Nothobranchius furzeri: one gene and its partners. The protein of the gene in region 3 interacts with the protein of the main gene of each other region in a biochemical or structural test. Links are inferred from orthologs where the notes say so. Each region holds a gene or a part of one and is shown on either strand. Other genes may lie near its edges.

Region 1 (5,036 bases), on a different chromosome or scaffold from region 3:
ATAACTCAGACCTCCCAGCACTAAATTTTCATATGAGGCTGCATATGTGTGAGAAGGGCCAATAGCAACATTGCATGATGCAAAACAGCTGCAGTGAATGCACCTTTTAATAGACACACATAATGCTTCCTCGTGCAGCATCACTTCCACCTTAGAGTTTAAGACAACAGGATTGGCTGCATGTGCATTCTTAAGAGCATTTAAAGCATTTAAAGTTGGAAACAAGTCAAAGGACATCACCAACTGGTTCTGCCTGATTCTTATTATCTGAACAGAAAGGGGCTGGCAGGTGAATGAATGTGCAACTTTCAATGTTGTTAATGCATCCCTAACCCTAACCTTGAAGGGTAAAAATCCAAAACAGAGATCAGAATAGGTGAGAAAATTAATAAGTCTCGATCTCCCCCTTCTGTATTTAATCTGTACACATCTGCCTTAATTCATAATATTTGAATCGCGTATGCAGCTGTGCGTTTTCAGTTCAAATGTAACTTTATTGTGCCAGAAGAGAGGCTCAAAGCAGCCTTTACTCCACATCCCCACAATAAACATGAATTCTCTTTAATGAACACCAGCATTTATGTGTAAACAGAAGGAAGCGCAACATACCTCAGCGGGACGACGTTACTAACTAATGAATCCTGTTAAATGTGCCATGTTGGTAGAAATAGAAAAATAAGGAGGCGCTTCTCGGCACTCACACCCGGCAGTCGGTCAGGCAGGAAGATTCGCGATCACACCAAAGTGGAGAAAGGTGGGCAAACTGACAAAATGATTCAAAAGTCAAATAAAGAACAATCACGTTGCAGGAAAATCGTCGTGGAAAGGAAATCCCAAAGAAGGGTCAAAAGTTTGACTCGGCAGACAAAACTGCGGCTGACGTGCGTCAAACTGCTCCACACTGCGCTCCACTGCGCAACTTCCTCCACGCGGGGGCACTGACTAACTTTTTCTCCCTTTTAATATTATTACTAATAAGGATGATTCATTGACGATAACTTTATTTCAAATATATAATGTAGAGCAGACCTGCTGCAGATTTTTATTCTAATTATAGTTTTTATTCCATACATGTTTAAAAGTTCTTTGAGACTTTTAGAAGAGCAGTCTTTATTATTGTAAATGCATTTTTATATTTCACTTTCCACCTGCTGTTCTTCTTAAAAACTATTCAATTAAGGCAATTAAACGATTTTGATAAAATATGATAATTAGACAAGGGACTTTTAGAAAACATGAGTAAATACAAATAACAAAATGTGTAATCACCACAGAACGCCCTGTCTTATTTTTTTCCATTTCTCAGTTAACTAGTTTTCCTATTTCAAATAAACAAATTTTTTATTTGCTGTTTTCCGTATTTTCACTCTCTTACATATCTTCCGGCAGACGTGCGTCCTACCTTAACAAGAAACCCAGAAAAGTGATGGAAAGCTGAAAATGGTTTATCAGGCAGGGTTAGAGTCCACTTTTGGGATCCAGGAGGAGATGGATGTTCTGATGCCAGGTGTTGTAACACATTGGATCAACAGGTGAGAAACCTGGAAAAAATGGAAACCTGGTGAAGCAACAGCTCTCACTGACCGAGGAGCCAAAATCAATCAGAGGACGAAGAAATTCCCAAGGAGCAGAGTCTTTAAATAAATAATAAAATCTTTTAATTTTCAGAGAATTTCTTCATTCTTTATTTTAAGGGGCGTGGCTATTACGTCACTAGCTCCTGATATATAGAGAAGCGCATGTCTGAGAGCTCACACATTGACGATTATCAGAGAGAGGAGAGAAAGGATTTAGAACAAAAATAATGCGCCGGAGCTTTTGGAGTATGAACAGACTCACATTTGCGTTGTCCCTGTTGGCTCTGTGCTTTGTCTGCGAAGGAGGTAAGTCAACAATTGGAGTTTTCCCTCAGAATTAAAAAATGTATCTTAGTTAGAGAAACTTAAGAGTGTTGTGTCGGTTTAATTCTAAGGATGAAATTAAATACTTAGCAGCAATAAACCACCCTGGTTAAACGAACACTGCATTGATTTCTTAGTAAAAGTTTAACTGTGTTAACAGGTAACCCCTGCTGCTCAGAGCCATGCCAGAACAGAGGTGTGTGCACAGCAATGGGAGCAGACAGATATGAATGTGACTGCACACGTACTGGATATTATGGCCAAAACTGCACAACGCGTAAGTAAAACCAAGATCAGGCATGAAATGAATGTAAAACTAAAAGCTGCCTCTTGTCCAGACTTGTTCACTCATCCTCCACTCGTTCTCCACAGCTGAATTCCTCACCAGGATAAAAGTCTCCCTGAAGCCATCGCCTAACACCGTTCACCACATTCTCACCCACTTCAAGGCTTTCTGGAACATCATCAACAGCATTTCCTTTCTCAGAGATGCCATCATGAGATATGTGCTGACGTGTAAGTTCCCTCAGCTCACATGAAGTCTTGCTCTTGTTTCAGTGTATATCAATAATATTGTCTTTTTTTCTTAATCCCAGCTCGATCCCACATGATTGACAGCCCTCCCACTTACAATGCTCATTATGGTTATAAAAGTTGGGAAGCCTACTCCAACCTGTCCTACTACACACGTGCCCTCCCACCTGTGCCGCAGGATTGCCCAACCCCTATGGGAGTCGTAGGTGAGGACACTGTTTGCCTCAGCAGAACCAGTTTTCTTAGATTCTTAAATACTGCGCAATAACGTCTTGGTCCCATTACATCACCTGGAAGAAAACAGAGTTGGTGTTTTCTTTTTGTTGTCCTTCACACAGGAAGGAACACCAAAAATCTGCCATGGTGACCAAAATAGATAACAACAAAACAACATTTTGGGAGTTTTACACAGGAACTGTCCTCCGTCTGTGTGGTGTCATGTTTAAAGCTCATTGTTCTGCTTCATTTTTTTTTTTTTTTTTTGCTTCCAGGTAAAAAAGAGCTGCCGGATGTGAAGGTTTTAGCTGAGAAGCTCCTGGTGAGGAGAAAGTTCATTCCAGACCCACAGGGTACCAGCTTGATGTTTGCCTTCTTTGCACAACACTTCACGCACCAGTTCTTTAAATCTGATATGAAGAACGGACCGGCTTTCACCGTGTCTAAAGGTCACGGGGTGAGTACAGCAGATTATGTATCGGACAAACAAAAAGAGCAAACCTTCAGTTGAAATCTTTGGCTCAATGTTGTGTCTCTGTGTTTTCAGGTGGACCTGAGTCACGTCTACGGTGTTGACCTGGAGAAGCAGCACAAGCTCAGGCTCTTCAAGGACGGCAAGCTTAAATATCAGGTAGGAAAGGTGACAGACAGGTGCACTTCTGGTGGTTAAATGTGTCCCACTTTCATCCGTGTCTCACAGTTTGTTCCTGTTGTATCTCCACAGGTAATAAACGGAGAGGTGTACCCTCCAACAGTCAAGGATGTGGGTGTTGAAATGCACTACCCCCCTCATGTCCCAGACTCTCAGCGCCTGGCCGTCGGCCATGAGGCCTTCGGTCTGGTCCCTGGACTCATGATGTACGCCACCATCTGGCTCCGTGAACACAACCGGGTTTGTGACGTCCTGAAGGAAGTCCACCCAGACTGGGATGACGAAAGACTCTTCCAGACCTCCCGACTCATCCTTATTGGTGAGTTTCAAGGAGTTCCCGCAAAGAGGAATATAAAGGACTTCCTATTTTGTTGCTGGAAAAGTCAAATAATGAGAAGGTTGCATGAAGCAAAGGTTTTGAATTGAGGAAGCTGCGCTCTTCGTTTTGGCAATCATTGATGCATTGTTGCAAATTCAGAGAAGCAGAAACTGGTTTTACAGTTTCTGTTCAGCATCTTAATAAGGAAGCATTTTTGTTTACTTTTATTTTTAACTCTGCTCTCAAAACCTTTTAAAACATGCAAATTAGATATATCAACCTTTTTTTTTTATTATCCGTCAGGTGAGACCATTAAGATTGTGATTGAGGACTACGTGCAGCACCTGAGTGGGTACCACTTCAAACTCAAGTTTGACCCAGAGCTGCTCTTTAACCAGCGCTTCCAGTACCAAAACCGCATCGCATCTGAATTCAACATGCTATACCACTGGCACCCACTGATGCCGGACAGCTTCCAGGTGGAGAAGAGAGATTACAGCTACAAAGAGTTTATCTTTAACACCTCTGTGATGACTGAGCACGGCATCAGCAGCCTGGTGGAGTCATTCACCAATCAGATTGCAGGACGGGTAAGAGCTGTTGCAGCAACATTGAGGCTGTGGCCCCTCTACGGTTTTAAAACCTCCGGGATTAATGTGAATTTTATCTGACAGGTTGCTGGTGGCCGTAATGTGCCGGGACCCATCCTGTATGTGGCCATGAAGTCCATTGAGCAAAGCAGGCAGATGCGTTACCAGTCCCTCAACGCCTACAGGAAGCGATTCTCCATGAAGCCTTACAGCTCCTTTGAAGACCTGACAGGTGAGATCAACTCATTACAAAACTTTTCAGTTGTATTCGGAAAATGTGACGTAAGAGAATTGTGAAGAATTTCGGGTACTTTGGTTTCATACCATTGCTTCACGTCCGTCCGCTGAACGCAGCTCACGCCACAGTTTACTCATTATTAAGGAAGTGATCTGCACTCATACCCTTGCAGCTTTGGAGGTTAGGTATTTATTTCCATGACTCTAAAAGCCAGACGTCCATTTAATCTTGATGTAGCATAAACAGAATGTCATCACAAAGAGCAAGATGTAAACACACTGAGGCTTGCTGCTTCACAGCAGACGGCATAAAACTCACAGCAGGAGAATTTATAGTAGATGAAAACTAACTTTATTAGCAAAGAAACAGTTTGTGTCTCTAGGGAGGTAAACAGAAGCCAGCCGCACAGAGAGAAGACATGTTTCACATTGATGTTGGACTTATTTAGAACCTAAACTAAGTCTTAAAACCGTTCTGTTCGTTTTCATCAGGCGAAAAAGAAATGGCTGCCTTGCTGGAGGAGATGTACGGTGATGTAGATGCCGTGGAGCTCTACCCTGGTCTGCTGGTGGAGAAACCCCGACCC
Region 2 (5,127 bases), on a different chromosome or scaffold from region 3:
AGCCATCATTTCTTTCAAGTCATATTTGTGCTGGTGTAAGGCTAAGTCTGATGTTTGTTCTCTGAGTTGCTCTGCATCACATGCACATCAGAGGTCATCAGCCTGAACATCTGTCTGTTGCATCTGGACAAAAGACTAAAGCCTCATTTACACCAAGTGTGGAACAGATGCAGATCAGAACTAGAGGTCGACTAATATTAGCTCATCTATTGCCAATAGCGATGCCTATATGTAAAGGTCGTGGTCAGCCGATGGCCGATGTGCTGATGATTTTCATGGCTGATATCTGGGCATTTCCACCTTACTTTCATGCTGAAATGGCACTAAAACATCAGTTGATGCACAACATTTCTGAAACCAATTCAGGTTTTGAACACTGAATTTAACTAACTGGTAAATCTTAATTTATGCACTGCTCAGAGTGAAAATCAGACATCTAACTGAAGTTAATCAAACAAATCAGTCAACTGACCAAGTATTAAATGTTCAAAACTGGTATATAAAAACAAATTTTAGCTGAAAATAAGAGCATTTTTTACACAGATGTTCTTCAGGAACGTAAATATACATTTAAATTAAATTCTGCAGCAGCACTGGGTTTCCCGGGAATGTGCCTGACTTTAAATCCACTTTACTAAGGAGGTATATCAGCCTATATCTAAAAAATAGTAAATGTCAGCCACTTCCTGTACGGCTCATGTCATTTTGTCAACTTCATCCACATGCGGCATTCGGAAAAAAAGAGAAACCACATGGAAAAACTCTGCAGCTCCGAATCCAGATTTGCCCCGCAGCAAGCTGGTGCAAATGCTTTGACTGGACTCAATGATTTTTGGTCTTTGCAGAAGCAGCAAAGACTCTGATTCTTGTGCGTTCTGCACTCTGTGTAAATGAAGTTTAACACAAGCAGAGTTTTGGCTGGGGGATTTGGTTGGGCTGCAGATTTTGTGATGATGCTTTATAGGATGTTTTTCTTTCTAAAAACCACATTACCAATAGTTCTGTTTAAAATGAACTCAAACGTTGCATTCTAGTCACAGCTCTATCGTGTCTAACTTTATTGGACTTAGCCACAAGCGTAAAGGCTGTGAACAAAATACTTACCATAAATGAAGAATTTTCTTACCTACATTTGTAATGCCTCTTTTTTTTCTTTTAATGGAGGTTCATGTTGCTTACACCTCTTCTGCTTAATTTTGTGACATTTTATAAATCTCTTGCCTTTTCTATCTTAACATGTTTCTTTTTTTTTAAATCTATGAAGTAAGGCCTCTTTAGTGAATCCTCTGAATAAGTGAGTGAACTAAGCCCTAATCTGAGATTGTTGGTGTGACTGATTGGTTGGAATAACATCATATTCTTGATTTAACGTTTTATTTTTGTTGTTTTTAGTGCAGTAATCACTGTTATCTCTTACCGTACTGAGAGAGTGAAGTCTCCTGGATTACTTTTACTTGGTCTGGCCAAAAAGCTGCCATCCACTCCTCGAGTCAGAAGGAGGTTTTCGGCTTCCACGCCTGTGATGTTGGGATGAAACCATCTAAGAAAGGAAAAGGAACAGAATGATGCTAATTACCACTGTGGCCAAAAACCTTTGTCTCAAAACCAATCAGTTGGGGTTTAATCCGTTGTCCAAATGCATCATTTTACAAAAAAATGTCTCCTACATCTCCCTAATGAAATTTTAACACATTCCTTCAAATTAAACATAATTTAGGGTCACTGTTTAAAACATTACAACCTCTTCCAGATGTAAAACAAAAAAAACTTTTAAAAGAACCATGAAAATCTGACAGAGTAGAGCCATTTAACTCAGCATTTTTCCTGTCTGATTAAACATCAGATGCATCAGATACACATCTGGTACAAGAGTCCAATCATGTGATCTGCAGAACCAACAACAGCACGACTTCTGCATCAATAACCCCAAAAGGTTAGAGTGCTTTGTTCTGCAGCAGAAAGACACACTATCTAGGACTTTAACAACATTTTAGTCTTGTGTTGTATATTGTAACTAGAATCCTAAATATGTTTCTGACAATACCACTACTAGTAATAGCACAACATGACTTTTCAGTTTTCAGTCAATTCTAAAGCAAAAGAGTAACATAACCAGCTCTAAACATAATAAAGCTCTGGGGTTTGACTTTGGGAATCATTTAACTGATCACAGTATTTTCCATTCCCCTTTCAGACCCAAGATAAATGTGTGCTGTATTATCTTACAGCCCTGATTTCAATACAGATTTAATTTCTGTTTTCTGATCCATGCTGTAACCACAGGGCAGTGATAAAAGTTTTCATCCTATGCAGAGCATCTCCTGTTTACATTCCCACACTGACTATATAGACGTGTGTGTGTGTGTGTGTGTGTGTGTGTGTGTGTGTGTGTGTGTGTGTGTGTGTGTGTGTGTGTGTGTGTGAAAAATAATCTGCAGAATGTTTGAAATATTGATCCCCTTGTATTCACTCTGATACAAAACATGAAAAACCTACACTGGTTTCCTATCCTGGATTATTTCATTTTTTTAAAGAAATTCCTGTAAATCACTATCTTTTCTCCTACGTGTATCCTTTTGCTTCTCTTGAATCGGGTTCCCACTTTCCCCCACAAACAAGAATCCAAATCAGAGCTGTGTAAATAATACGGGATCGACCGTGGTGTAACGCTATCTTTGGTTGTCAGACAGAAGCATAGCACAACTAAGCTAACTATTGTGACTATTCTTTAAAAAAACTCTTAAGTTTGCTCAGTAGCTAATTTATGCGTTGCTCGTTTGAAACGGGCGCATATGATACACAAGCAGATGAGATGTGAAGTTTAAAATAACTGTGTAAAAGTATTGTTTTCTCAACTGGCTCCAAGTTGCCGGTGTAACGCTAAACACATTTATTCTAAGCTAGCCGTTTCGCAGCCTTCGGTTCTCTCAGAAGCCTCGATTCCCCACGTACAGAGCTACAGACAGCTGAGCGGAGTCAAACTTAGCCGGCTCGGCTAACATTTTGTCACCAGACATTGTTTTCCAGACAGCCCTCTCACCTCCGAGATGTCATTTTTTCCCTTCCTCACTTCCTCGCTGGCACTTCTTGGTAGCCTCAACAAGCTGGCTAACGCTTCCCACCGTTTCTGCTTTAGCTATCTGATGAAGTGCTTCATCGATTAACACCCGGTCAGGACGGGCGCAGGAAACGAGTTAGGCATCCACGAAAGACATGGGTAGCGCCCGCTACTAAAAAGTCTCTAGGCCTCGGCCCTGGAGACTTCAGAACAAGTCGACTACTGTACGTCACCAAACATGCGACAAAATCATCGGACAAAATAGAGGGCGCTTGGATTTACACCCCCACGCGGCCGTTTACGTTGCCGCACGCGCACCTCGGAATGCAGCAAGCTTCTGGAGTGTCTCCGCCTGAGCACAACCCTAACCGGCGAAATGTGAGATATAAAATGAAGATCCCAATCACTTTCATCCTACGCATGCTCATTAAACCCTTCAAGTGGCAGAAGCGACAAGCGTGCAATGATAAACAAAGGTAGACTTTATGTTTGCGATTATAAATATCTGTGAAATGTCATTTTTACACCGTTTTCTTTTTTTGTAAAATGACATCTTATTAAAATTATACTTAAAGAAATATTATGCTTGTATAAGTTTCCAGTGCCAGAAATGCTTGCTTATAAATACTGAACTACTACAGGTGGTTATCGTCATCATCATCATCATTATCATCATCATCATCATTATCATCATCATCATCATCATCATCATCATTATCATCATCATCACCACCACCACCACCATTATCACCATCCATTATCCAGTATCCCTGCAGTTTGCCTACAGAGCCTACAGGTCTGTAGATGATGCCATCAACATGGCTCTACACTTCATCCTGCAGCATCTGGACTCCCCGGGTACCTACACCAGGATCCTGTTTGTGGACTTCAGCTCTGCCTTCAACACAATCCTCCCAGACCTCCTCCAAGACAAACTGTCCCAGATGAACATGCCTGACCCTATCTGCAGGTGGATCACTCACTTCCTGATGGACAGGAAGCAGCAAGTGAGTTTGGGGAAGAATGTCTCGGGCCTGCGGACCATCAGCACCGATTCCCCTCAGTGTTGTGTTCTCTCCCCTCTGCTCTTCTCTCCATACACCAACGGCTGCACCTCCAACCACGAGTCTGTTTGCAGATGATTCCACTGTCATCAATGAACTGAACTGTATTAAAATGTTTACTTTGTGAATTACCTTGAGACAATTCTTGTCAGGATTTGGTGCTACATATCCATCCATCAATCCATTTTCATCAGCTTATCCAGAGTCGGGTCGCGGGGGCAGTAGCCTAAGGCGAGAGACCCAGACTTCCCTCTCCCCAGCCACTTGAGACAGCTCCTCTGGGGGAATCCCAAGGCATTCCCTGGCCAGGTGAGAGACATAGTCCCTCCACCGTGTCCTGGGTCTACCTTTAGGTCTCCTCCCGGTTGGACGTGCCCAGAAAACCTCACCAGGGAGGCGTCCAGGAGGCATCCTGACCAGATGCCCAAACCACCTCAACTGGCTCCTCTCGATGTGGAGGAGTAACGGGTCTACTCCGAGCCCCTCCCGAATGACCGAGCTTCTCACCCTATCTCTAATGGAGAGCCCAGCCAATCTTTGGAGAAAACTCATTTCGGCCACTTTCGGTCACTACCCAAAGCTCATGACCATAGGTGAGGGTAGGAACGTAGATATCATGGTCTGAGTCTGCGTCTCCCCTCATGTTTCTCCTTATGTTCTCCATCCCTCTCTAGGTTCTCCTTTTGTGCCTCCTAGCGCCCTCATGTGTCCTTGTCTGTGTCTTCCTCTTGTGTCTCCTGGGTTTCCCCATTTGCCCCCAGATCTTCAGCCCTCTAGGTTTCCCTCCACAGGCTTTCCCTACAAGGTCCTGTGCTCCCTTGGCCCCATTTTAGTCACGCCCCTGTAGTTTTTCTTTCTGTAGTGTCTTCCTCTAGTTTCAGCTTCCCCCCTAGAATATTAGTTATGTTTGCTGCCCTTCAGGTCTTTAGGTTTTATTCTTAGATCATTTTCCTTAGTTACAGCTGTTCATGTTATTAGTCTCTCTAGTGTGTTTTTTCCCATCGG
Region 3 (5,073 bases):
AGCTACTGACTGCGATCACATGACTACCTCAGCTGTGTGCATACCGGTTAGAGTCACAGGCAATTTAGCACAAATGACCTTCAGCAAAGAGCTATTCCTCACAATCACAGAGGTTTACCTTTACAACCTGAGCAGAATCAGCTGAATCAGAACCGGTTCTGTCAGTGTTCTGAGTGACACCAGCGTGCCTTGTCATTACGGTAACTGGTTTCCCACAGATGATGCCTCGGGAGGATTCACATGCAAACACTTTGCTGCTTGTCTTCAGCTCTTGGTGTTGTTGTCTCAGTGTGAAACTGTTCCAGGCTGCAGCAGGATAACATCTTTATGTGAAACAGGTGCACATCTGCTCTGTTTTGATCTGCGCTCAAGGCCGCACCTTTGGAAGTAGGTGGGGGTTATTTATTTATGCAACTGTCCAGAGGAGACATCACAGAGGGGTTCTTCACAATAAAAGAGAAAAGGATCCTGGTGGAAATGAAGAACTTGAGCTTTCTGCAGAAGATTTCCAACAACAAAACAATCCATCCTCAACGGCCAAGCGGTGGTACTGTAACGTTCTAGATCAGCTGGGCTGCGTGGACAGGCTGCACCTGGGAAGGTGTGGATTTAAAGCACACCTAAATCAGATCTATAACTGTAGCTACTTTGTTTGTTCTGGTTTGTTTAGGTGTTGTAACATAACTTTGTTGTTAAATACAACTAGATCTGCATTCATCTGGGGCCTAAAGAGGAAAGTCAAAACATAAAACGGGGGCTTCTCCGGGATATTTCTGACCAACAGTGAATACTAAACTTGATTGGTTTTGTGGGAAAATCTGGTTAGTTTTAGGTTTACAACATGCAGGGAGAACCCCAACATCAACAACCTCAGATCATTATACCAACAAAGATGTTAGGTAGGGATTCTCCTCGGCGTGCTTTTATCATGAAAGGCTACAATTACATGTAACTCTACGAATAAAAATGTGATTATTATAAAGTAGTTTTATTTATTTATCATGGGCAGCAGCAGCTCAGGAGGGAGAGTGGATTGCTGCTGGTAGTCATAGGGGCCGGTGGCGCCTGTGCTCGGCAACCTTGCCTCCATCAGTCCACCTCAGGACAGCTGTGGCTACAGTGTAGCTCATCATCACCAATGGGTGAATATGTGTGTGTGTGTGGGGGGGGGGGGGGTTGGGCTAAACGACTGATTGTGTTATAAAGCACCTTGGGGGGTTTCAGGAGTCTAGAAGGCTGGAGAGAAGATCCCAGCACAAATGCAGGCAATTTACCATCATGACTATTTTTATTATTATGAACTGAATGAGGCAAAACATGTATTGTACATTTTTGTGTTACTGTATTTAAAACATTAAGTGAAACATTTTAAATGAACCCAATTATAAAGCAACACACACACACACACATTAAATGAAAAATACATTTTTGGATGAATATAGACAACAAGAAATTGATGAAAATGACTGAAATCTAACTCAATAATCAGCCAACTTACAATATCAGACCTGTGTAAAAACAAAGCAGCCTACCAAAATAAGAGCGGGTGAAGAACGCTCCTAAGGTCTCAGAATTGCTTTGGTGATGGGATTCTATGAGACGGTTTGACTATGGATCATATCTGAATGTGCCGAGAACCACTTCAGATATAACATAGATTAACATGGAGAGACCTCTTCACATTTCTGTGGACCGCAGTCTAAATGCAAACGTTAGCAAATAACTTTGTTTAAAACCATCTAAATCCTGGATAGCTTTGGTTTTTATTGTGAATTTGTATTTTTTACAATATGATCGGTGTATGATTTTACAAACGATCCATAGGTGTTCTCCATCTGGCTCTTTCTCCCTGCGAGCTGCAGGTATCCACACCTTGTCATTCCCTATTAACGCCCACATTTCACCCAACAAATAAGCCATGCTATCCTCTGCCTTGATCCCCAAACGCAGTTGCTCTGTGCCAATTTATTTCAGAAGCCCTTCAGTCCGTGTGAGAGTCTCCTCCAGCGCGGACACGCTGCAGCGCTTGTGAATACAGGAGTCCCCTGAAAAGCGGGTTTCCCTTCGGGCATGCTGGAGGCAGGTCCCTGACAGAAAGCGCGGAGCTGGGAGTGTGCCTCCACGCCTCCCACTCGGTTTCCTCTCCTGTCGCATCTGGTTGAACGAGGATTCCTCCAGTCGCGGACAGAATGACAGGAGAACTGAAGGACGAAACAGAAGAGGTACAGTATGACTCTCAGCTGTAGTTTGTCTCAGAGTTTTGAGCTTTGATATTTTTTCATTAAGGAGGTAATACATCTCTGTAGGATTTATTGGACCCACGAGGGGGAATTTCATGTTTCTATCCCTCACACCTGGAGCTTGTCGCCTCTCCAGGACTTTGGAGTTTTCTTTAAGAACGTTTGCGTGATGCGAACACTCTTAAGACCAGTCTATTTGTCAGCAAGAACCCCTTTTTATTTATATTACCCATAACGTTGGCGAAAGTGAACGAAAACACATATATTTGCGTAAAAAACGAGAAAGTGGCAGATTGACGCACTTTTACGCATTCGGGTTTAATGTAGTAAACACGGAAAACCTGCATGTTTTGGCACCATTTATTAATAATCACGTGTCGCACAGGTCCTATCGAGAGGAGAGGACTCGTTGCAGTTTATGACATGAATTAATTTAAAGATATTTGGTTTAATAGATTTTTGGGGATGCGTACTTTTACGCATTCACCAAAAGAGAGGTTTCCGTGCGCCCAGGTGCATTCCAGCCCGCTGTGAGGTGGGTCAGGATGTGGAGCAGCAGCCTGCGTGGTGAGGACCCCTTGCGGCTGAACGCAGGGGTGTGGTGCTTCACTTTGCGTTCATTTAAACCCATCCCAGTTTGTGTGGCTGGCTGCTCCAGTCCTTCGTTCCCTCTCAGCGCGCTGCGCACCCTTCTTCCTCCTCCTCACGCTTCTCTTTTTCTGTCTTTCTTTCCCTCCTCCTCCTCCTCTACGTGAATCCTTACAGGAGTTTCCGCATTCACCCTTCATCAGAAAACAAGGAAACATTTACAAACCGAACAACAAAGACATGGACAACGACAGTATGAACGAAAAGGCCATGGAGGATGTCCACACCAAGGAGATAGACCTGGTCAACCGGGACCCCAAGCACATAAACGACAACGTCGTCAAGGTGAGTCAGAGCTTTAAGTTTGACGTTTGAACTAAAAGGTGCAGCTGGAGTGATGCTTTATTGTATAACTGCTGCAAACGAAGTGTTGAGAGAAAATCAAGGTGATAGTTTTACGTTTGTCTAAGAACGTTGCCAAACTTCTGGCAGCTGTTGAAGTGCGCGTCTCGGAGACGCGCTCCGGCTGCGCGCTGATCTCCAGCCCCTCCGTGTCTTTCCCCTATTAGGAAGAAGCTTTGCAAACGCGGTGAAGTTGAAAGAAGTTATCATAATCAGCTCTGAAACGTGACAATCCCGCTCTAAAGAGGAAACATCACGAATTTCCTGTTGTTGCTGCTGCGCGCGTTGATTCCCACAGTCGCTGTTTGCCTTTTTGTGATGAAAGCAAATTCTTTCCGTAAGGGAGAAGGCTGCTCGCACAAAGGCTGGAAGTGTGTTTAGTTTGAGGAGGTGAGGAGAGGAGAGGGAGCAGCGAGGCACCTGCTTGAGTCTACCCTTGTGAAAACATTGAAACACCCTGCTAATCTGATGGGATCCCTCACCACTCCCTCCTCCTACATTTTCTCCCATTCTACTCCCCCCTCCTCCCTGCATGCCAGCACCTGAGCCAAGGGAGCAGAGATGCTTCTTTATTAGCATCTGACAGTTTTTGGAGAGGGAACTGACTGAGGATTTTCTTGGGATGAAAAATTGGCTGAGATGCTGCAGTTCAAAGTAAAAGGAACCAACTATGATTAAAGTCCACTTGAAGATCTCGCTGCTTTCACGGTAATCTTTTTAAGAGACGTTCCAAAAACACATAAAAGGATGCATGTTACCCACGTGACCTTCTAGAAGCTGCTGTTGGATAAAAAGGGGAAAACTGCTCTCCAGCGTCTCTGCTCCTGTCTGCACTCATGCTGTCTCTCCCTCCTCCCCAGCTCTCCAATGTGAAAGTGAGTCAGACTCTCCCTCCAGTCCCCCCCCCACACACACACACGCATGCACGCACACTCACACTCACACACTCACACTCGCACACACACACACACACACACACACACACACACACACTCACACAACCACCACCCACACCCACACACACACACACACACTCACACTCGCACACACACACACACTCACATTCGCACACACACACACACACACACACACACACTTGCACACTCACACACACACTCACACTTGCACACACACACACACACACATTCAAGACAGGAGGCGAAACAATCTGATATCACATGACGATAACAGGAAAAATGACAAAACGTTCTCTAGTTTCGTCATGGTGGGGGGGGGGGGGGGGTCCTGCCTTTTTAGCGTTACAAAAGTATTTTCAGAGGTGAGTCAGGACCGGGGTGCTCCAGTGTTTTATTTCATTGTTGTCATGGCTGCAGTTTGGCTGCTAAAGTTAAAACAGATGTTGGCATCTGGTCTGCAACTGTTGCTGATGGTGCCAGCAAGAGAGGTTCCTGAAGGTCTCAGGGTAAGGTTCTAGATGACTCTCAGTGGGTTGCATGGCCTAGCGTTAACACTCTGAGACGGTCGTGGCAACTTTCATCAAAGACAGATTTGTGGCAGATCAGATAAAACGCAGAATCTGGAAGTCAGCATAACACAAGTGTGCATTTTAACCTGCTTGTCTCTTTAAAAATACATTCATGCAAACAACATTTCAATAAAATCTTTAAAGTTCTTTTCATCCTAAATTAGAAGATCTGTAACATTTCATAATAATAATAATAACAATATTAATGGTCCAGAACAATTGTGTAACATGAGAAGGACCCAGTGTGGAGTCATGCTCTGAACCATGAAAACGCTCTAGTGATTAGAATCATTTTAAAATGACACGTTAGCTCTGAGGTCATCGTGACCTCACTGTTAGCTCGTGAGTTTAGCCAGA

The links. The genes of interacting proteins can lie anywhere in the genome.
Region 1: the proteins of cav1 (region 3) and ptgs2b form a complex in vitro, tested with the Homo sapiens proteins (2 studies listed by BioGRID). The link is inferred for Nothobranchius furzeri from reciprocal best matches to the Homo sapiens genes CAV1 and PTGS2.
Region 2: the proteins of cav1 (region 3) and ptpn11a form a complex in vitro, tested with the Homo sapiens proteins (2 studies listed by BioGRID). The link is inferred for Nothobranchius furzeri from reciprocal best matches to the Homo sapiens genes CAV1 and PTPN11.

What each region holds. Positions count from the first base shown.
Region 1 is NC_091748.1:67,409,823-67,414,858, reverse strand, and holds the start of ptgs2b (prostaglandin G/H synthase 2), read left to right. Parts: upstream 1-1,748; 5' UTR 1,749-1,804; coding exon 1,805-1,883; intron 1,884-2,061; coding exon 2,062-2,178; intron 2,179-2,273; coding exon 2,274-2,417; intron 2,418-2,497; coding exon 2,498-2,641; intron 2,642-2,926; coding exon 2,927-3,108; intron 3,109-3,198; coding exon 3,199-3,282; intron 3,283-3,375; coding exon 3,376-3,622; intron 3,623-3,925; coding exon 3,926-4,212; intron 4,213-4,296; coding exon 4,297-4,444; intron 4,445-4,941; coding exon 4,942-5,036. UniProt on the Homo sapiens protein: Dual cyclooxygenase and peroxidase in the biosynthesis pathway of prostanoids, a class of C20 oxylipins mainly derived from arachidonate ((5Z,8Z,11Z,14Z)-eicosatetraenoate, AA, C20:4(n-6)), with a particular role in the inflammatory response.
Region 2 is NC_091746.1:40,340,934-40,346,060, forward strand, and holds the start of ptpn11a (tyrosine-protein phosphatase non-receptor type 11), read right to left. Parts: upstream 3,289-5,127; 5' UTR 3,055-3,288; coding exon 3,041-3,054; intron 1,541-3,040; coding exon 1,418-1,540; intron 1-1,417. UniProt on the Homo sapiens protein: Acts downstream of various receptor and cytoplasmic protein tyrosine kinases to participate in the signal transduction from the cell surface to the nucleus. Positively regulates MAPK signal transduction pathway. Dephosphorylates GAB1, ARHGAP35 and EGFR.
Region 3 is NC_091744.1:52,442,307-52,447,379, forward strand, and holds the start of cav1 (caveolin-1), read left to right. Parts: upstream 1-2,000; 5' UTR 2,001-2,189; coding exon 2,190-2,222; intron 2,223-3,005; coding exon 3,006-3,173; intron 3,174-5,073. UniProt on the Homo sapiens protein: May act as a scaffolding protein within caveolar membranes. Forms a stable heterooligomeric complex with CAV2 that targets to lipid rafts and drives caveolae formation. Mediates the recruitment of CAVIN proteins (CAVIN1/2/3/4) to the caveolae.